Linked DNA regions of Astyanax mexicanus. The protein of the gene in region 1 interacts with the protein of each later gene in a biochemical or structural test. Links are inferred from orthologs where the notes say so. Each region holds a gene or a part of one and is shown in the gene's direction. Other genes may lie near its edges. The genes, in order: racgap1 and ect2.

Region 1 (11,120 bases):
ATGCTATTTTTACTAATTTAATCTAATTTAGAACACTTTTTATTCATGTTTTCTTTACTGTTTTGGGATAGTTTATAAAATAAAAAGGTCAGTATGAAATATAAAATATTACACACAGGCTCCCAATGCAATAGAAATATATAAAAAAAACTAGATTTATTTGCTATATAGATTTTATAGAAGAATATTAGAGTTTTTTATGGGCATTAAAAACAAAAAACAGCTTTCTTACATTTTTTTTCCGTTACTGGAGATAAGTCAGGTCTGAAAGGGTTAAAGGAGAGTATCAGCAGCTCTAAGGTAAACTCGAGAAGCTGCTCACAAGTGCTGGAACAAGGGAATTTAAACTGAACGAGCGTTTGTCTCTGATAATGATAAATGTGTTGTTTCTTCACCGTTCCAAACCTAATCACACCCCAAAGTCTGTTTAAATGCTGCCACTGTTGAACCAGATCGAGCTGGTGTTTATCAAGACCATTAAGACTAAGCACACTCATCTGTTCCCCACAGCCAATCCTCATCCATATTCCCCAGGAGACACTCTCACGATGTGGGCTCGCAAAACCGCTCTCCAGAGTGCCATTCACTGAGACACTAACATCTAATGAGTAGCTGATGTCTGAGTGTACCAGCAGATAATAAATACTTTAACACATTTTACTGAGATTCGCAAAACATGGCATCTATAAAAAGAGTACAATCTACACCTTTTTATTTAATTAGTGTGCTTGCAGTAGGCAATCACGTAATTAATCTTCTTAAGTTAAATCAAATTATGATTACAACCATTTTTGCTTTCTTATCTTATCAACTAAAACTTTATTTGATGCATCATATTAATGGCATGTAAATAGCATGTAAATAGCATTGTATATATATATAACCTATATGATACATTTATTTAGTTTCACATATTAGGTTATGTTTTTTTTTACTGTAAAATAGCTAGTTCACATTGCATTCTCAAATTAAACACTTATTGACCTTCTGAGAACTCTCCTCAGAGCTGCCAACTAGCCTATAATGTCTGGCAATAGTGTCTTTATGAAGACACCAGATGGAGCTGTTTTGTCCTAAAAGTTGTACTACTATTATATTGAGTATAAAGGATCTAACACAGATAAAAGTATCACAGTTGTGTATACTCAAATATCCACAATACATACTCAGAAAAGGTAGTTTTGTTGAAATGCTTAAAAACATGGCATTAATGGAAAGAGGGGAAAATATACCTTTTTTATTTAATCAGTGAGCTTGCAGTAGGAAATCATATTGATCATCATAAGCTTTATTCTTGTTTTTAATTATAATTTAATAAAAATATTATTACTACATCATTTTTTTCTCCTTAACTTGGTATAAACTGTATACAGCTGCTAGATGAGTGCAGTAGTATTCTTGCAATAAGCATCCAAACAAGCTATTGTGCCCCATAGGGATGCATTTCAAATTACTGCATTACAATTCCTTTTCTACAGGTCACATCTTTCGAATTAAAGACTCCAAGTACAAGAAAAAAGCACAGTGCTAATCTTTATTAATCACTAAAAATATATTATTCCTCATACGAATGAATGTCAAATGTTCAGCTCTCTCAAACCATTAGACAAAGGCATTAGCAGACAAAAATATTAACATTAAACATAGCAACACCTTAGCAACCACCGTAGAAAACAAATTTGCAACCAAGAACTACACTATAGGACAGAACTACATTATATCTGCTATGGGGAGACAAAATTTTATATTATTTAATATTTATTTAAAATTGTGTTCAGTGATATTACAGTAAGCTACTTTGTTCTGACAATCATAACTGATTATGTCAGTAAAAGGGGACATATTATATGTCTTTTTACACACGTTATAATATGTCTCTGGGCTATAAAAATGTTAATAAAGTTATTTGCACAAAATCACTCTCACATAACGAGATTTCACCAGCTTTATTCCTACCAGTTCCAGTCCCTTTCAGAATGAGCCATTTAAGGGCTCTGTCACTTTTATGCAAATAAGCTGTTGCTGGCTACATCATGTTTATGCTGAGCATTTATCACAATCAGTGTTACCTTGTGCTAAACAGTACATAGGTTTATATAGGATCTCCAGTGGATTTGACATTTTACAGAAACTCTAAGATTAGATCAATGGCTGAGCTGCACTTAAGCAGGGCATTACACTTGTTGTAAAGTAACATATGACATTTCAAAGACTGTTATTAGTGTAAAAATATCGTTATTTTAAAATGTTTCTAACTGTTGTCCATCTCACTGATGTCGCAGTGAGAGGCAATATGTTTGCATGTATGAATATTCATGAGAAATCCTATCGTTTCTCCCCGCCCACCGGACTAAAGCACCATTATACATGATCACCGGAGCAATCAATAATCATCAATCATCAAAAAATAGCTCACATGGCATTCATTCATTCAAGAAAGCACAATTAGATATTTTAAAATGAATGAAAAAACATTTTCATGACAACCTATTTCACCCTATTTAAACATGAATTCCTCAATTGTTTAAGCCACTGAAATATGACAAATATACTTTAATAACACATTCATTGTGATATTTTGACATTAAGTGCTCCCTTCCTGCCCAAATAACAAGTATAGCTTCTAATTTTTTTAAACATTGTACTCTGAAAAAGAGGAGCATGCATGTGCTGAAGTGAATACAGCTTGTTGCATCTTTTCTATGCATTTTATACACTTATACTTCCTGTCTTGTTTTATATTTTATTTTTCAATAAAAAAAGACTATACCTTAGCACCCACCTATTAACATCTTAGCAACCAGCACTTGTACCACAGCAACAGTGATGCTGAGCTGCAGTCACAGAGGCAGATACTCATTTACAGATACAGATGCAAGTGCCTAGTATGCAAGGCTGCACTTGTGAGAGTTGTTGCAGAGCAGATAAGAGACTGAGCTGGGGTATCTGTGCACAACCCCAGCTCAGTCTCTTATCTGCTCTGCAACAACTCTCACAAGTGCAGCCAGGATCATTGGTACTGATACACAGAGCAGCAGAAGCACAGGCAGCAGCACAGGCAACAGCACTGCTGGATATCCCAGGCTTTGTTTAGACAGTGGTGGGCTGGGGTCTCTGCAGGGTAATGGGATTAGAAGTATGAGGGGGGAAATGTGCACCATGCCCACGGACTGACTGCTCTCCATACAGATCCACGCTCAGCTATTAGCTGTAACCGCACTCTTATTTTCCTGCAGCTCCCGTTCACACAAAAGCCACAAGCACGCGCACACACACACACATACACACACACACACCGCTCAGCGTGCAGCATCTGCATTAGCCCAGCCCCCGGGCGATGGACAGATATAACAGACTTATAGAAACACATGCATGTAGTTTACCAGGTCAGTGGTCATGTTCTGCTGCGTGGTGGCGATCATGTTGGCAGAGGATGCTCGCGCCTGTGGCTCTTCTTCCCGCGAGGAGACCGACTACTCAACACGACCACCAGCAACCCCGCGCGCGCTATAATCACACCGGGATAAAGTTACCCATTTCTCTCCCTCTGACACACACCCTCTCTCTCTTTCTCTCTCTCTCTCACACACACACACACTCTCTCTCTCTCTCTCTCTCTCACTCCCTCTCACAGACACACGCACTCTCTCGCTCTCACTATTTCTCTCGCTCTCACTATCTCTCTCTCACACACACTATCTGTCACACACTCTCTCTCTTTAAAAAAACACACTCTTACTCTCTATCACACACACTATCTCTCACTACTATCTCTCTTACACGCTGTCACACTCTCTCACTTTCTCTCTTCAACATACACAATCTCTCTTACTCTCTCACACTATCTCTCTCACACACAGTATCTCTCACTCTCTCTCTCACACACACTATCTCTCACTCTTTTACACACTCTCACTCTCTGTTTCACAAACACACTATCTCTCTTTCTCTCTCACACACACTGTCTCTTACTCTCTCACACACTCTCTCTTACTCTCTCTCTCTCTTTCACAAACACACTATCTCTCTTACTCTCTCTCACACACTCTCTCTTACTCTCTCTCACACACACTCTATTTTTCTCTCACAAGCACACTATCTCTCTTACTCTCTCTCACACACTCTCTCTTACTCTTTCTCACACACACTCTATTTTTCTCTCACAAGCACACTATCTCTCTTACTCTCTCTCTCTCTCACACACACTGTCTCTCATTCTCTCTCTCACACTCTCCCTCAAACACACTCTCTCTTACTCTCTCTCACACACACACTGTCTCTCATTCTCTCTCTCACACTCTCCCTCAAACACACTATCTCTTATTTTCTTTCACTTACACACACACACACTATCCCTTTCACAAACACAGTATGTCTCTTTCACAAACACCGTCTCTCTTTCTCACACACCATCTTTCACAAACACACCTTCTATCTCTTACTCACACACAGTCACACACATCTCTTTTACAGACACACTACCTCTCTTACTCTCATTTCTGGACACCCTACACAACACACTCATTCCACCTGATCAGATTGCTGGCCCAGAGCAGCTCAGGCACGTTGTCATTTGGGACAAAGTAAGTATCCACCTGGCTGCTTTGGTTCATAACTGGTTCACTGCCCACACACTCTTGTCAGTTGTATATCTCCCCCCCATATTCTCCATTCCTCAATCCTATTGATGATTTTTTTCCCGCCTGGAGATGGAAAGTGTATGACCTAACTTCACAAACGGATATACCCCTTCTCCAAGCTATAGAATATGCATGTGGAGATATAGCAGTTGATGCATTGAATAGCTGGATTGCTTGTGATGTTGGTTAGATGCTGTGGCCAGACTAAAACAGAAGACAGGATGCAGCATAGTTTTTTTGTTTACTGTAATTTTATACAATAAACTCTTCTGTTGTTTTGTATGTAAATCACTGCATCTTTGTATTGGTTGCATTGTACATGTGTACATTTTGTTGGAAAAATAAAATTATTATTTTACTGTGTATTTGTCTGTTCTGAGTTAAAAAAAAAAAATTAATATTTTACAACGCACTTATGTGTTTACTGTCTGTATGTCATTATGATGAATGGAGAATGGTGTTTTACACTGAGCACGTCAGTGTTCAACTGCTTCTTTTAATTGTCTGTTCATATGATGGTTTCTGTGTGTCATCTGAACACAAAATAGCCTTTTGTGAAAATATAACACTGTTTTGAATGTAAAGTTTCATTTTGCAGGAGAATTGAAGGATTTTGCCCATTGTGTGCGTTTTTGTTGGATTTGTGTGTAGAGTTCTGAGAATATGAGGCATGTTTTCAGAAAATGTGTGTAAACAATCCAGAAAACTGTAAAAGTTTTTGATGGGGAGGTTCAGGTGAAGCTTTGGCAGCTGGTGTTGGGTTTTCTATTCTCTGCTGCCACCATCCGGCTCTTTCAGGCGAAGCCTCTCTGGGTTGAAAACGCAAGAGGAGAGAGACTAGCAGGGAGCTTAGTAAAACAGATTTATTGTGCTGCTGAAGTGGGCAATAAAACGTAGTGGGGAAATAAGGGGGAAAAGAAGGAAAAATATATTATAAGGACAAAATATAATAAACATTCCATACTGCATTTTGCTTTATGGAGGTTTATGCTCATATATAAGAAGATAAAAACAAATTAGATATTGTATGATATTTTTTCTTTACCTTACTTTATTTGTGGTTATTTTGATATTTTAGTTATTTTATTTAGTTCCTTTGTTTACATTTCAATATAGAATATACAATGCTAGTCAAAGTCAAGCCAGTCATTTTTTTAGCTAAAAATAGTAGAAAATAGTTGTACACAAACAAAAAGAAGTAAAGAAAACAGCATGCTTTATATTAATTTGGACTCACTCGAACTGAATTAAATTGAAAGAAAACGAGATATTATTATTAAAGAAAATACAAATAATATAATTTTAAGGGAAAAAAAATATAGACACACAAAGCTTCAGTTTTTTCATCACATGTGTTTGTTGAAAAAAAATCCATCATAGCTTTTTTAAAAATGTAGTAATTATTGAGTTATTTTATGATATAAGCTTAAAAATATTTTTATGTATTATTTAATAGTTCTTCCTTATAAATATAACTTTTACTCACAAAAAGAAAAGGATATGTAATATTTATACATAATGTTTTTTTTTTTTTTAATTCAAAATAACAAATGTTGTCTTTGGAGTTAAAAATAATTCAAAGTTTAATGAGACTCCGCCCCCCGCTCTGCCTCACTGTTCACGCCTGCGCAGCTTGGCGCTCATTGGCTAGCGGGTAAATTTGAAATGTAACTACACTCGCTGCTAATCCGTTAGCGCTGTGCTCAGACCGACCCAGCTCTGATGGGCAGGCAGCGATTTATAGTGTAATTCAGCGGGTTTTCCCAATTTCCTCCTGATTAATATCATCAGAACAGATCACAGCGAGAGGACACAGCGCAGAGGTGAGTATTTTACCGGGTTTTATCAGATTTTACCGCAATAATAGTTGTTATTGTTGTTCAACAGCACCGGGATTAACTGTAGTTACTGTGTGAATCTGTTTAAAATCACCGCACAACACAGAACCCGCTGCTAATTTATCGTTACAGGATTACCACATTAGCTGATATGTTTACTATATTTTCTTGAGCGTTACATTAACTAACTGCATTCCTTAGAACTAAGTTAGTTAGCTTAGCTAGCTAATGTGCGTTCACCTTGCTTTGGGGTTGACTTGTGCAAGTTACACAGTCGGTTAGCTTAGCTAGCTAACTAACGCTAGCTAGGTCAAGTTAACTAACGTTACTTAAGGTTATTTTGTAGGCATTTTAGCGAACTGTTTGTGATGTTAAAACTGTATAAAATGTCAACGTTAACTATCTAATGTTTGTATTATAACGTAGCTAAGGTCTGTTTATAGCGAGTTTAACGTTACTAGCTAACTTTACCAAGCTAGGTAACAATGTAAAGGCTGTTTTAACTTGTTGTTGTTACAACAGCGTTGTTGTTGTTAGAACAGAATTGTGGTGAGTTGTGCTAACTTGTGGGCTACTCTAGTGTATATTTAACTGTAAAAATACAAAACAAGCACCGTATTAGAGCATGTTCCCTGTATAAGTCTTTTATAATTATTGTATGTAACTTTTATTCACACTTTAGTGCAATGACAGTGAGTCCAAGTTGTTTAATGCACAAACAAAAAAAGCATTTATTATATATATATATATATATATATATATATATATATATATATATATATATATATATATAAATAAAACGAGAAATAATCAAAAGGTGTAGGTCAGCGCATGCGCAGTGCCTTTAGGAAGCACGTATCGATGGGTAGCATAACTCGACAGAACACCTGGCAAGATTCGGCTACCTATTTGTTAATTTTTAGTTTAATTGGATTAGCTTGGGCATACTAGTTATTTAGCGTGGTCAGCTTGATCATGCTGGCAGACACAACCAAAAATAAAGTGCTACATGTGACTAAGTTGGACAAGAGTTCAATGACTAACTCTTTCTTTTTTTGTATTTTATATTACATTGGGAGAACTCTGTACAAAGTTTCATACAACCTTTATATATATATATATATATATATATATATATATATATATATATATATATATATAATATATATATATATATATATATATATATAAATATAAATAATTGTTTAGGATTGTTGAACTTAATAATTTAACATCTTTGTCAGTTATTCAAAAAAAAAATATATACAGAGCCTTTGTAGAATCAGTTCTGTTTTTTTAATTTTTTATTATTCTTTGTAGAACATGGACACTGCTGTGATGAACCTTTTTGGCATTTTTGAAAATCTAAGAGCCCATGTTGACGTCCTCAGTGAAAGCATCGAGCCTCGTGAGTTGAATTACACTGTTTATTTTACACATAAATACAACCTGCCATGTGTGTATATGCAGCGGTATCATGGGAACAGTCTTCCTTACACTTACGCTTGTATTTATAGAGTTCATTCAGATGGCCCTGAACTTTGAGGACTGTCGGCGTAAATGGCTCCGAGTGGAGCAGGATTTCGCCTCGTGTAAGGAGGTGCTTGCCAAGGCGGAGACTGAGAGAGGGGCTCTGGAGGTCAAACTTAAACACGCTCGTAACCAAGTGGACGTGGAAATCCGGAGACGACAAAAAGCTGAAGCAGACTGCGAAAAGCTGGTATGTGACCTGGAGACATTGCACATACCAGACAGACAGAAATGCTGATTGACATTTGCCTTCCATTCATTCCACGAGTGCATAGGTTGCTTTATAAAGCTCAGTAACTGGTGAAGTAGGGCTTTCTTAGAGTAAACCCAGTAAATAATTTCTTTCTTTCTTTTTTGTTGTCCACAGGATCGTCAGATCCAGCTGATCCGAGATCTGCTGGTCACGGAGGGTTCTAGCAATAGCATCCAGCTGAATGATGAGCAACGCTCAGCCCTGGCTTTTCTTAATGCACGCTCTCAGACACCTGCTAATCTCAACAGCAGCCGAAGGTGAGGGAGAGAAAAATAATATCACTGTTTATTAATATGTCACACTCAAGCTTAGGAATAAGCTGCTAAAATATCTCTCTTTTTTAAATTGTAACATTAATTTTCTGTAGGTTGACCACCATTGATGAATCTGCCTCAATCCTATCAGACATCAGTTATGATAAAACTGATGATTCGTTGGTAATTAACTTTCTATTGACTTTAATTTTTGCTGTTTATTCCATAGAGTTAAACATATAAACATAATTTGATTTGTTGTTTTCTCAACAGGACTGGGACTCCTCTGTTGTCAGAACTGTTCGACTGAAGAAACGTCAGAAGAGAGTAAGCTGATGACTTGTGTATATTCATCTATAAAACCCAGTTCATGAAATTTGGACATTCCTTAAAGCAAATATGTGATTTTAAATAAATTATTATTATTATTTTTTTGTAGCGCTCCTCCCGAAACCACACTGAAGGTCCACCAGCTGCTGCCAAGCGGTCTCGATCCACTGGCCGCACTTCTGAAAAGGTAAAAGACCATATATGTATATGTAATGTTATAACGTCCATTTTCTCACTAAGAGTTCCCCAAAGAACTTTTAATTTCAACTTTAATGTAATTTCAGCTACAGCAGATGTTGGTTATACCATCTCATTTAGTATATGTTAAATTGGACCTTCTCCAAATATAAGGCAACAGTATTGCTTTTGCAGACATAGTTCAGACCCAGTCATTTTTTAAGTGTCATGATTTTATTATGCAGAGCCTGAAGGGTTACACTGAGGTCAAGGGTGATTTCACACCTGTAGTTGGGTTCTCTGCTCCAGATCAATTGAGGAATTTGTTTACTTGAAGCGTTTTCTACCTCTGTTTGGTTTGGTTTCACACAGGCACAAACCTAAATGTACCAGGATGTGCACCAATAAACCACGCAAGCACATTGTCTCCTTCAGGCTAATATATCAGATTAAACCGCACCTTATCAACAGTTTAGCTCAAATAAAAGCAGTGTATTTGATAGCTGGGTCAGATTGAGACTGGATCACGTTCTCACCACAAGCAAACTGCTCCAGACCAAGACCACCTCATTTAGCTAGTCTCAGTTTGGTTGTTTTGATCCTCTTCCGAGTGCAATTACTGTTTTAATACCTGCTCAATCGAACCGCACTAAGGGTACAAACAAACCAGAGTTCGTTTTAACCAAACCAAATAGTGATGGTGTAATAGAACAGGGTTCCATATTGTAAACTTTTAGATGTAAAGGGTTTAAAAAAAAAAAAAGACAATGGAAGCAGTTGTAAAGGTTCTGGCACACTGAATAATTATGTAAATATCTATAGGGGAATGAGTCTTTGGTGGCAAAGACTACTGTGACTGTGCCTAAAAATGGAGGACCTATAGAAGCTGTCACCACTGTTGAAGCTGTTCCTTATTGGACCAGGAGCAGGAGAAAGACTGGTAAGTTCCAGCTTTAGCTTATTCCAGTAGACTGTGCAAAATATAATTTTTTAAACGTCATTTCTGGATATATGAAGTGCATTAATAGTATTATTACATTTTGGACCATTGACTTCTGTTACATACGATATGCCACATTTTATGGTGAAAATTGCTGTATCTCATTGTATTCAAACAAAATGTAGCAATACCCTTAAATATCGTGTTATTATTTTAAAGTCATATCGCCAATCCCCACTCAACATATTACACTTTGCACTTACTGAATTTAAAAGCTTTTAAATTAGCAATATTTGAGTTAAGCTCTAAAGGGCGGAGAGTGAGCCTCCGTTACATGTTATTTAAAACTCATGGTTTGTACATAAATTGTCATTTTTTTAAATATGGAGCAGCTGTATGTCAGTTGTTCATACTCTGCATTGTTCCCTGTGTCTGTGAATCTGCCTTCATTTTGCTCTTGCTGTTTTATTTTTTGTAGCTACTATGGATTGGGACACTGCAGACACTGATTCTGTTCAGTCCATGGACGTGTTCAAACAGCCCAGCCGGCCACAAAGAGAGAGCAGAGCAGAGCCCAGCACACCACAAGGTGGTGTCCGCCTGCATGAGTTTGTCTCCAAAACGGTATGTTGAGAATGGGAGGCTTCTGCTTTTGCCTTTTATTTAAACAGTTTTTATATATATATATATATATATATATATATATATATATATATATATATATATATATATATATATATATATATATATATATATATATATGTATATATATATATGTGTGTTTGTGTGTGTGTGTGTGTGTGTGTGTGTGTGTAATTTGTCATGTGTCAAACTCAAGGCACGTCCTTTTATTTTGTCTGCGGGAGTTTGAAAGGGCTTAGTGTCTAAAAATAAATGCGTTGACCAAAAACTACATTTCCCACAATGCATTTTTAAATCGGCAGTGTAGTCATTGATGTGGAAACGCTGCGTAATTTTGCAAACGTTTATTGTAATCAAAGCATCTTATTTATTTGATGCAACGCATGTTCTTAGCAGCTTACAATTTTTGATTTTATATTAACTAAGCCTTTTTTCAGTATGTCGTTTTTTATGTATTTTGATCAAAGTTAATATTATAACTTGTGTTTTAACTTTTTTTTTTTTTTTTTTTTTTTG
Region 2 (10,652 bases), on another chromosome or scaffold:
CTTATTTGTTTTGCATATTCTGTTTTTTTTCTGATTTTAAAGCTTCATACTACTTATAAACCTCCTCAACAGATCTCCCTCAGATCGGATCTCAGTCCAGGTTCAGCTTCTAAGCGTTATTTCACCTTTTCGTATTTTATTATTGTAGCACAACTATTCCAACTGTACTGTACAGACAGGTAATGTAAGGTAATGTATGATTGGGCTTTGGAAATATATTTTTTTTATTTTCATGGAATCAAATGCAAAAGCAGTGGATAAATCAGTGAGAATAAGTAAATAAGTGTACTGTATTAAAAAACGCTGCCTTCATATTTTCATATCTTATCTAGACAGAACAACAAAGGAAAATGCAATTTTGACAGCATGTCAGTGAATGTATAATATTCTTACACACCAAATATTTCATATTTCACCATCGAGAAGGAGAACAGTCCAATTGTAACATTTTCAAGAAAAATTCAGAATACAAAAAAACAAAATCCACATTTTTTCCATTTGACCAACTTTTGTTCAATGACTCTAAGCACAAAAAGGAAAAGTGGAATGCAGAGTTTATGATAACCATCATTACGCTCCTGTATTTATAAAGAATACAAACTGTACAATGCTTTGACACCTTTGGTCAGTGATCGCAAACCGACAATACAATACAATACAATGTATTACCAGTCTACATTTTTAAACATGCGATTAAATATGTGCATAAAAAAAAAAGCTTGCGTTCATGAGTTCTTCTTATTGGTGATCAATTATGTGCTAACTTGCAAACAGAGCATTACAATTTCTTTCTTTATGTATTCACTTATATATTTATATATATATTATTACTGTTTCTCCATTATATAACAAGGTCAGTGCTGAAACACCAGACAGATAGGGGTGACGCTTGCCGAATAAAAGGTAAAGACTGGTTTATTAACAGAGCCGTAAACAGAATAACACAGCCAGAGAACAGATCGAACAGAACTCACAGTGTAAGCAGGAGACGTAGTACAGGAAACAGTCCAAGATCCGAAGCCAGAGAGACAGTCCGATAATACAACAAATCCGATAAGGGCAAATACAAAAGGCAAAATCCGTAATACAGAAAAAAGGGTCATAACAAAAGGGCAGACAGAAAAGGGTTTGGAAAAACGCTCAGTACGCAACATGAGTCGACAATACCTCGCAAAGAACATATGCTAACAGAACCCTATATATAAAAAACATAGAATTACTATGAACCGGAACAACTTAGAACACAGGAGAGTCTGAACGGAGGAGAGTAACACGATTGGGTGAAGGTGAGCGGCTGACGGTGACGTCATCGCCAGTGGGTATATGGGAAATGGAGTTCGGGAGTGTGAAAGGAGAGCCTAGAGACGTGACAAGTGCCAGATCTAAAATATAATTATGATGAGTACGATTATTCCCGCTCTCAGTTACATTTTCTTATTTTTCACAAGGGCACTTTCCTTGTAAAAAAGAAGTATACTTAAAAGTATATACTTTAAAAGTGGGTTTAAATCAAGTAAAGAATACTATAAGTGCATTTTCTATTAAAAGCGCATTCTTCCTCAGTTGTTTAAGTTGTTCACCGACGTGTGTTTCAAAACTTTTGAATCGGACACTTCTTATACATTGTAATATGCAGCCGGTGGATTGGCAAGTGTGAGAAATACCATGTGTGGCTTGTGAGCGTGTGAACTCGCTGAGGTATGTGTGTCACGCGCTCAAAGCATGAGATTTGAGAATATTGTTTGGATACAATTCTCTGACACTGGCCACTGAATATTCAACATGGCACCTCATAACAAATAACTTTCTGAGGATGTGAAAAATAGCATTGCTGTTTTACATAAAGATGGCCTAGGTTATGAGAAGATTGCTAACACTCTGAAACTAAGCTACAACACAGTGACAAATGTCATACAGCATGTTACTACAACGGGATCTACTTGGAACAGGCCTGGTCATGTCAGGGACATGGCAAAAGTCATGGAACATGATACTAAGTTCTGTTACATGTGGCATGTCTGTGTTTGGTCATATCAATGTGTAACCAAACAATATCTGTATATAAAGGCAATGTAAGTGCATCACATTGTAACGAATAGGAATGACATTTTTCACTCAAAAACTCATTTCAGAAAATTCTGATTTATACGAATACAAATGGACAATGCTACACTATTATACAGTTCTTATATCAAAACCCAAACAAAGCATGAGTCCATGTTCAAGCAATTAAAAAATAATCAGAAGCCAAAGTGTCCAAAATCCATAAAAATCAGACCAAATAATCGAAATCTCACGAAAACAAAAAGATAATTAAAAAATATCTTGAAAAAATACAGGGCACAGCAAAATAAGGAAAGCATTGGTCCTACCCAGTTTCACATACAATCCACAGGTCCAGGAACAGTTTGAAACAGCTTGAAGTATCTCTTCCTTAGAGGTTGAAAGATGTGGAGCAAACTTTTTTTTTCCTTATTAGCAATCCTACCCAAAAAAAATGTCCGACACCACCACTTCCTGTTACTAGTTTGTTTCACAATAAAAGTCATTTAGGTGAAAACAGGAAGCAAAGCCAAAAACTTATACATGGTGTGTAAATATCAGAAAAATATTAATATCAAAAAACCTTCCAGACTTTAAACGACTAGTTATGTTAGCCATGGTTAACCTAGGACTTTACATGTAACTCATATTAATGAACACTCAGTGTTACCTAATAGCCATTAGGAAATCACTGGTCTTAAAATCATTTTGGCAGCATCACAACTTTTCCCTTATAATCTCAGTTAAGCATTTTATCTCCAGTAGGGGTGTCAATATGGTGCTAAAAATAATATCATGATATTTATTGGTATTATGTGGTATTTTCGCAATAACAATACTCTTGGCAATATGAGAAAACACTGAATAATATATATAAATATATATAAAACATATGATATATATATATATATATATATATATATATATATATATATATATATATATATATATATATATATATATATGTATATATATATATATATAAACATATAAAACACATACGTATATATAGACAATATATGTATATATACGATATATATATACTATATATATATATATATATATATATATATATATATATATATATTTCAAGAATACACTACTGCAACAAAATGAAAATCTAATTGTATTAGTGCATACGATATAATATGCTACACCCCTAACTGAGATATAAAAAAAAAACACGGATTTTTATCAGATTTGTAACAGAAGTCAATTATCCAGAATGTCATGATACTAATAATAATGCACTCCAAATATCTCCATATTCCCAGGATTAAAGTAAAATAAATGATACTGGACAGATATAATCTATAGTCTCTAGTAGATATACCGGTATAATGGTAAATGAGAACAGAGTGATTTTTTCTTTTGCTAAAAACTGCAAAAAAAAGTAGTACACTGATGTGATAATTAGGGGTGGGTGATATGGCACAATATTTTAAGGGTATAATATTATAGTTCAAGATATTCAAAAAGGTTGGCGATATTATTGTGCACGATACAATATGGCACACCACTAATCTCCATTTCTTTCCTTCGAGCCATTTCTTGGTGGATATACTAGACGTTTTCAAGAGTCATTGTCATGTTGCATGGTCCACCTCCGCTTTAGCTTTAGTTTTAGTTTTAGTTTTTGGTGCAGACAGACAGAGAGAGTCTCACTTTTTTCTCAAGCCTCCGTTGATACAATAAAGACTTCACAGTGGCTCTATTATGGAGAATAACATATAATAAGATCACTTACCTTTACAGTAATTATTTTATATATTTCTTTAATATATATATTTCAAGAAAATAATAATAATATATATATATATATATATATTAAATTCTTTAATATATATAGTTTTTGTCTATGGATCTATTTTATTCAGTGATGAAGGGTTAGGATTAGGAATTGAGGAATCTCATTTTGTAAGTCACCCCATCTGTTAATAGCAGTGAAATCGCTCCTTGCTCTGAAAAGTGTCAGTTTAATTTCTTCTAATTTCGTTTCTTCCTGCCAAACTGTCAAACGGGAAGCAGAGAAAAAGACAGCTGAAAAAAGCACTTCTGTTTCTTTTCTTTTTTTTCTTTTTTTTTTGAATAAATCCAAGTTCATTTGGTCTTGATGATGTGAGGAATATAAAAGGTAGCACTAGCGGTACAGGTGAGGTTTTAGCGCAGCAGGTGAAATCCAACCTGCTGTTTAAAAATGCAGCAAAAACACTGTCTACTCTATGACAAATAGTATTTTACTACAGCGCTCCATTCCCTAAATAAATTCCGTTCGCTCAGGAGCTCTCTGAAATCTCAGAAAGACTACCTACTGTGACTTTGTGATAGACGTTCATCTTCTGCCACGCGACCGTTTAGTTCATGTCAGGTGGTCCACCTGGGGGAGACCGCTGGGTGCGCCTCTCAGAGAGTGACAGAAAGGAGAAGGTGGTAAAAGCAGGCTTCACCGGGCTTTGTTCTACAGAGGGGGGCTTTCAAGCTCCAGTGGGCCTATGAGGAGAGGCAGAAGGGGGGAGAGCACACAGTCGCAACAAAGGGCTGAATCTGCCACACAGTCACTCAGAGTCAGAGGCTAAAAAACAAAAAGAGAGAATCTCTCCAGTCCTCATCAGTGTGTCCTTCAGCCCGGGCACAGACACAGGTTTCTCAAGGCCCCTCTGAAGCCGGTCCCAGCAGCCTCAGCAGCCGCAGGAGCAGCCACCCCCCCTAACCACCGCCTGGGAGGAATTGGTTATGAGCCTCGGCCTCTGGAGCCGCCGCGCTGGTGAGCTGGAGCAGAACAAAGACACAGACTTTTGAAGAAGCTCTCATTTGAAAAAAAAAAAAAAAAAAAAAGGGCCAGTCTTCTTCTTTGTGAAATGATATGGGAGACAGGCGACATCTTCATTTTTCAGAGGCCTGTCATGTGGTATCTGTGTTGGCTTAATATTTAAGATGCGCAGAGCAGTGAAGTCCCAGCAGCAGCTTAATAAATATTTATTCTGTGAAGACTCAGACTTCAGACTTCCCAGCTTCACTTACTTACTTCTCCTCTGTAGTTCTTGGCTTCTTATAAACAGACAGGTGGATAGCCTGTGGTCAAGTCAACACATTTATGCAATTTAACATTAAGACAGTTGCTTAAAGAGCACCTTTATGTTAATGCTACTGTCTGCTTATATACAGTTATGTGCCTGGGCTGGCGCTAGCCATTTGAGTGCTCACCTTTTTCAATAATTTATTGGTGTAATTTGATAACAGTTTGATTAGTTGGTTTTATAGGACTTCACATTACTCCAAATTGCCACAATAATATCACTAGATACTTAAATCCTGAACAGTATCAAAAAGTCTCTTTAAAGATTTAATGGTGGGTTTGTTTGTTATATAAAACAGCTTGATTTTCTGGTTTTATACGACTCCAAAATCTGGTTTATTAAAAACCGAAAAGACATTTTTCCTAAGTTTGACTTTCCTTTACTTGAAAATGCTACAGTAACATAACTTGATACTTACTGTACATCAATAATAGTATGGAAATGGTTCTTCAATGATTTGCTGGTTTTATAGGACTCCAAAATCTGGTTTATGCAAAACCGAATGGACATTTTTTCTAGGTTTGCCTTCACATTAATCCAAATTGCTACAGTAATGTCAGTATATGTAAATGTCTCTTAAAGGATTTAATGACTTTATTTAATAAAAGTTTGATTTACTGGTTTTATAGGACTCCAAAATCTGGTTTGTGGAAAACCAAACACACATTTTTCCTAAGTTTGATACTTGATACTTAGTCACTCAATACTTACAGTACAACAATATTAGTATAGAAAGGGCTCTTCAATTAAATTTTTCCTCTTTTTTAAATGAACTAAAATGCCTGTCCTCAAAAAGCTAACCTAGTGTTTGTGATAAATTAAATTAAAAAAATAATTAGATAGTTTCTCAAAATATATTTAAATAATGAGATAGCATCTCAAAATAACGAGATAGTATCTCAAAATAACTAGATATTTTCTCAAAATGTCTTTAAATAAGGAGATATATTAAAATAATCTAAAAATATCGATTTGTTATCTTAAAAAAATAAATGATCATTTTAGAATAATGAGATAGAATCACAAAATAACGGCATAGTATCTCAAAATAATGAGATTTTGCCTCAAAAAAAAAAACTTTGTATCTTATAATAAAGTTACTTAGCTAATAATGATACATAAATATGTGCTGGATTAATGTTGTGAATTAGGTGTGAGGAATGAGCTTCTATACTAGTGAAGAGATGATTTAAAGCAAATCGGAATAAAATAATCTGAATAAAGTATAAACTGTTTTCTCAGTCAGCCCAGCGCACGCGCCCCGCCACTGCATCGCGGTTTGAATTTAACAGCCAATCCGGAGCCACTTCCGCCAACCTCATCCGCCTCAGCCAATCAGCGCGCGGCTCCTCGGTGCGGCTGTAGTTTTGAATTCAGAACGGGAGAGGATCTGCTGGAGGAGCACAAAGCTTGAAAATGGATTTAATGTTTACACTTGTTTCCTAGCGTTTCTCAGCCCACGCGCTCTGTCACACCCGTGTCCGGCGGTGTGGTTTATTTTATACGGGTTATCGCTCGGTTTTTGGGGCGGTTTGTTGTGTGTTGGGTAGTTTAACAGTGGGAAAGGGAGGCTGCGGGGAACTCTGTGTAGCTGCTAGCCGGCCTCCTGCTGCTGCTGCTCAGCCAGGCAGCTCAACTCTCAGCTCCAGCAGACCTTTCAGCACTGTCCCCGGGCCCGACCTGACTCTTGCTGACCCCGGGTAAGTCTTCTTATCTCTGCTTCCTCTCTCTAAACACATTTATTAACTTTAACCACTGCTTTTTGCTTTATTTTTAAGGTTTTTCTTAGTAGCAGTGCTTCCAGTAGCCCCCCACCTTTAGCTAGGCTAGCTAACTAGCAGACAGCTGTCACTGTTTAAACACAGCAGCTAAGTAGCTAAACTAACTAGCTATTTTTAATAAAACTACATCATTTTAACCTTTATGTTATTGTCAAATGTATGTACACCCTTTTATTCTTGGAGGAAATCGGCCTTGGGCTCATCAGAACTTTAAACTTTAAGAAACTTGACCTAATATAGCTAAATAAACATGTTACCCTACCCAACACAGGTTTGTTAACTGGTTAATTAGCTAAGTTAGTTAGTTAGTGTTAACCTTGTTAACAACTTTAAATTATTTTTATTTTATGTGTTAGTCCACAAAAGGAAGATAATAAGAGACCACTTAATGATGTTTTTCCTTGATCTTGCAAAATTGAAAACCTCTGGAATATAATCAAGAGGAAGATGGATGATCACAAGCCATCAAACCACCAAACTGAACTGCTTGAATTTTTGAACCAGGAGTAAAGCAGCATAAAGTTATCCAAAAGCAGTGTGTAAGACTGGTGGAAAAGAACATGATGCCTAGTTGCATGAAAACTGTGATTAATAACCAGAGTTATTCCACCAAATATTGATTTCTGAACTCTTAAAACCTTATGAATATGAACGTGTTTTCTTTGCATTATTTGAGGTTTCATTTTTTGCTAATAAAAGGTCTGTGTGTATGTACTGTATATTAGTTGCTGTCCAATGAAAAACAAGTATTTACATTTTGTTAATTTTTTAGTTTACTACATAACTTAAACAGACAAACTGTCCCTTTACACTATCAACATTTCTTTATGAACGGACAAATAGAAAAATTTCAGCATGACCTGAAACAAACTCTTTTTACATCGACTTCCATTGAAAATTTAGAAGTTTTTTTCTCTCTTACAAAGTTGCTGTTTTGGAGATACTTTTTTTTTTCAATGCATAGCAACTATTTGTAGCATTCCTAAACTGTTTCCAGTTGCTTCCAGACAAACTTTGGATAACTCTTCTTTTCTCTACCTTTTTACCTACTATTTTACTAGCTTGAATAGATTTATTAAGTTTGCCAAGAGTGTTAGCTAGCTTAGTTAGCTACTTAAGGCTAGCTAGTTAGTTAGATTAGTTAACTAACCTAGATGGGTATAGGGATGTTTAATAGTAGGTTAACTTTTTTTGACTTTAATTATGTTCCAATGATTAAAAAATATGAGAAATGCTGTTTTCCAAAAAAAAAAAAAAAAAAAAAAAAAATATATATATATATATTAATGTTATGTTTAACTTGTTGCCCTTATTACATATAATACACAACATTATGTTGATTTCTTTTTCAGAAATGTTAAAACAGTGAATAGGCACAGAATTTTCCCAAATATAAAAGGAAGATTAACATAATGTTCCAGTGAGTTTGAGTGCAGCAGTTTTACAGTAAGTAGGGTGTAATTTTCTCTAATGTCATTTGTTGGATATTATTATTATGGACACTATGAAAGCAGGCACTACAAAAAAACAAAAAAAAACCCATAATTTTCCTTTATTCTGGGCATGACTTCAATCTCCAATATTGGAAATAATAGAACTTTACTGCTAATTAGAATAAATTGTCCCATTATAACTGAAGCACATACAACACAACGAGTCTAAATATAGCTACACATAGGAAAAAAGTTTTATACTATAAAAGTTAAGTTTCCTTTTTTTTTTTGAGGGTCATTGTTTGCAGTTTGCTGAACATAGAGTTCACGACTTTCTCTTCTCCCTTTTTGATGTAACTGTTAATTTTCTTTTGGACAGGATTGGGTCACAGCACCATGGCTGACAGCAGCATAGTGACTTTGGGCATGGCCCGTAGCCTGCTGGTGGACTCGTCTGTGTACGACTCCAGAATGGCAGAGACCTCTAAGGAGCACACCTTCCTGGGGCTGGCTCCTGATGAAGCAGAGGGTAAGTGAGGTCTCCACTGGAGTAATATATCAAATAAGATTTGAATTATTTCTTTATTTTAGTTTAACATGCTTCTGTCACTTTATTCTAAATTGAACAGAGGAGCCCAGATTTCCATTTTTGTTTGACGTATGACAGTATATGTATTTCCTGGGAGACTTGCCTTGATTCTTGTCTTATTCTTATTCTTTCAGAAATCCTTCGCCGAGTGGAGACTAGAGTAGTGCTGGTGGGAGAAACAGGCCACGATCCTGAACTTGTAAAGGCATTGGAGGTAAAGTGGGATTGATTGCAATTTACTGTCGATAAGGAAAAATCATATTATGCCTGTACTGTATTTAACACATAGTGACATTATGCAAGATTAGCCACAGTGATACATTTTTGTTATTTTAATTTTTAGTTATATTTATATATATTTTTTTGTGTAATGGCACTCAGTAATGATTACTGGTAGAAATCACAGGGCATGGATATTATGACTATACACTGCCCACAATTATATCACAATACTATGATTCTGCGATATATATCGCACGACAATCATCTACGATACTTTCACAAAATTTGACCAGTATTAAATTATTATGAAACATTGTACAAATAACGTGCATTGCTTAGCTTGCAAAGTACATGCAATGACGACAACTCTTCAAAGTGTTATTATTTTTACAGTGTTGTAAAATAGCCATAAACTGCAATAAATGTAGTGTCTGTATAGAACACTTAAAAAACTACGCTACACTAAAACCATTTAAATAAGACATATTATGCCTAACTTACCTTTTTGCATTCCTTTGTATTTTTATTTGGGTCAAGATAAAAAAAATCCCTTCCTGTTTTCTGTGAATCAGCTGAAAGAGATTGGTGTCAGGAATCATATGCTTCTATGAGCCGTTTGTATAGCTGACGTCACAATAAGGAACCCTGCATAGAACCACTCTGGCACCACCCCTCACCCGTCAACCCCAACAGACCAGTTAAAGATGTACAATTTTGCTTATTTTGGTTGAGAACCTCAGACAGTACACAGTGGAATTAGCCAGCAGACTTCACCTGTAGGAGGGATCTGTACCTACTGTTCGTGGCAACTCAGCAGATAATTGAGTTTTGTGCTTCTGTCACAGTTAAGCTAAACTAGCTTGTTCATGTTTTCCTATTTAGCACAAGCTAACACTCACGTGTGGTAAACTTACCACATAGCTATAAGCTATAAACAGCTTATTTGCATAAAAGTGATAGAGCCCTTAAATGATTCATTCTGAAACTGGGACTGATGCTGGTGAGCTCTGTTTATGTGAGTGATTTTATGTGAGTCTTGGGGAGTTTAGAGCTATGTTTCAATAACAATATCAGTATCAGACACCACATATTGATACAACACAATCAAAACGTAGTGATTCTTAATTGGAAATAAAAAACAGCCAGTTGTTTCTGTTGTGATGATGCATTTTAGTGTAATTTGGTGTTTATAGAGAAAAATCTGCATTCTGTTGCCTGCGGAGCTCATAGATAAGCAGTTAGTAAAAATCTCCTGCCTTTAGGGAATTTTTTGACTGGACTGTGATTGGGCTGATAGATGTGTGTACTGATAAGAGCAGGCAGCACTTCCTGTTTTCCTGAGGAAATGCTTTGACTGTCTAAAACTATCCGCTAATGTGATTTGTCTATGTCAGCAGAACAAAGACGAATTTCAATTAATAGCATTTTCTGTTTACCCGTATACAGACGGGTTTATCTTCTTGTGTTTGATAAATATTGTTAGTATCTGATAGGTTGGATTCATCTA

What was found.
Region 2: the proteins of racgap1 (region 1) and ect2 form a complex in vitro, tested with the Homo sapiens proteins (3 studies listed by BioGRID and IntAct, with this or other methods). The link is inferred for Astyanax mexicanus from reciprocal best matches to the Homo sapiens genes RACGAP1 and ECT2.

What each region holds. Positions count from the first base shown.
Region 1 is NC_064420.1:6,131,049-6,142,168, reverse strand, and holds the start of racgap1 (rac GTPase-activating protein 1), read left to right. Parts: upstream 1-6,303; 5' UTR 6,304-6,463; intron 6,464-7,798; 5' UTR 7,799-7,801; coding exon 7,802-7,886; intron 7,887-7,995; coding exon 7,996-8,198; intron 8,199-8,375; coding exon 8,376-8,518; intron 8,519-8,628; coding exon 8,629-8,698; intron 8,699-8,788; coding exon 8,789-8,842; intron 8,843-8,954; coding exon 8,955-9,032; intron 9,033-9,844; coding exon 9,845-9,962; intron 9,963-10,440; coding exon 10,441-10,586; intron 10,587-11,120. Other genes in the region: inactive dipeptidyl peptidase 10, read right to left, coding at 3,384-3,422.
Region 2 is NC_064423.1:4,512,194-4,522,845, reverse strand, and holds the start of ect2 (protein ECT2), read left to right. Parts: upstream 1-6,476; 5' UTR 6,477-6,820; intron 6,821-8,713; 5' UTR 8,714-8,730; coding exon 8,731-8,863; intron 8,864-9,057; coding exon 9,058-9,137; intron 9,138-10,652. UniProt on the Homo sapiens protein: Guanine nucleotide exchange factor (GEF) that catalyzes the exchange of GDP for GTP. Promotes guanine nucleotide exchange on the Rho family members of small GTPases, like RHOA, RHOC, RAC1 and CDC42.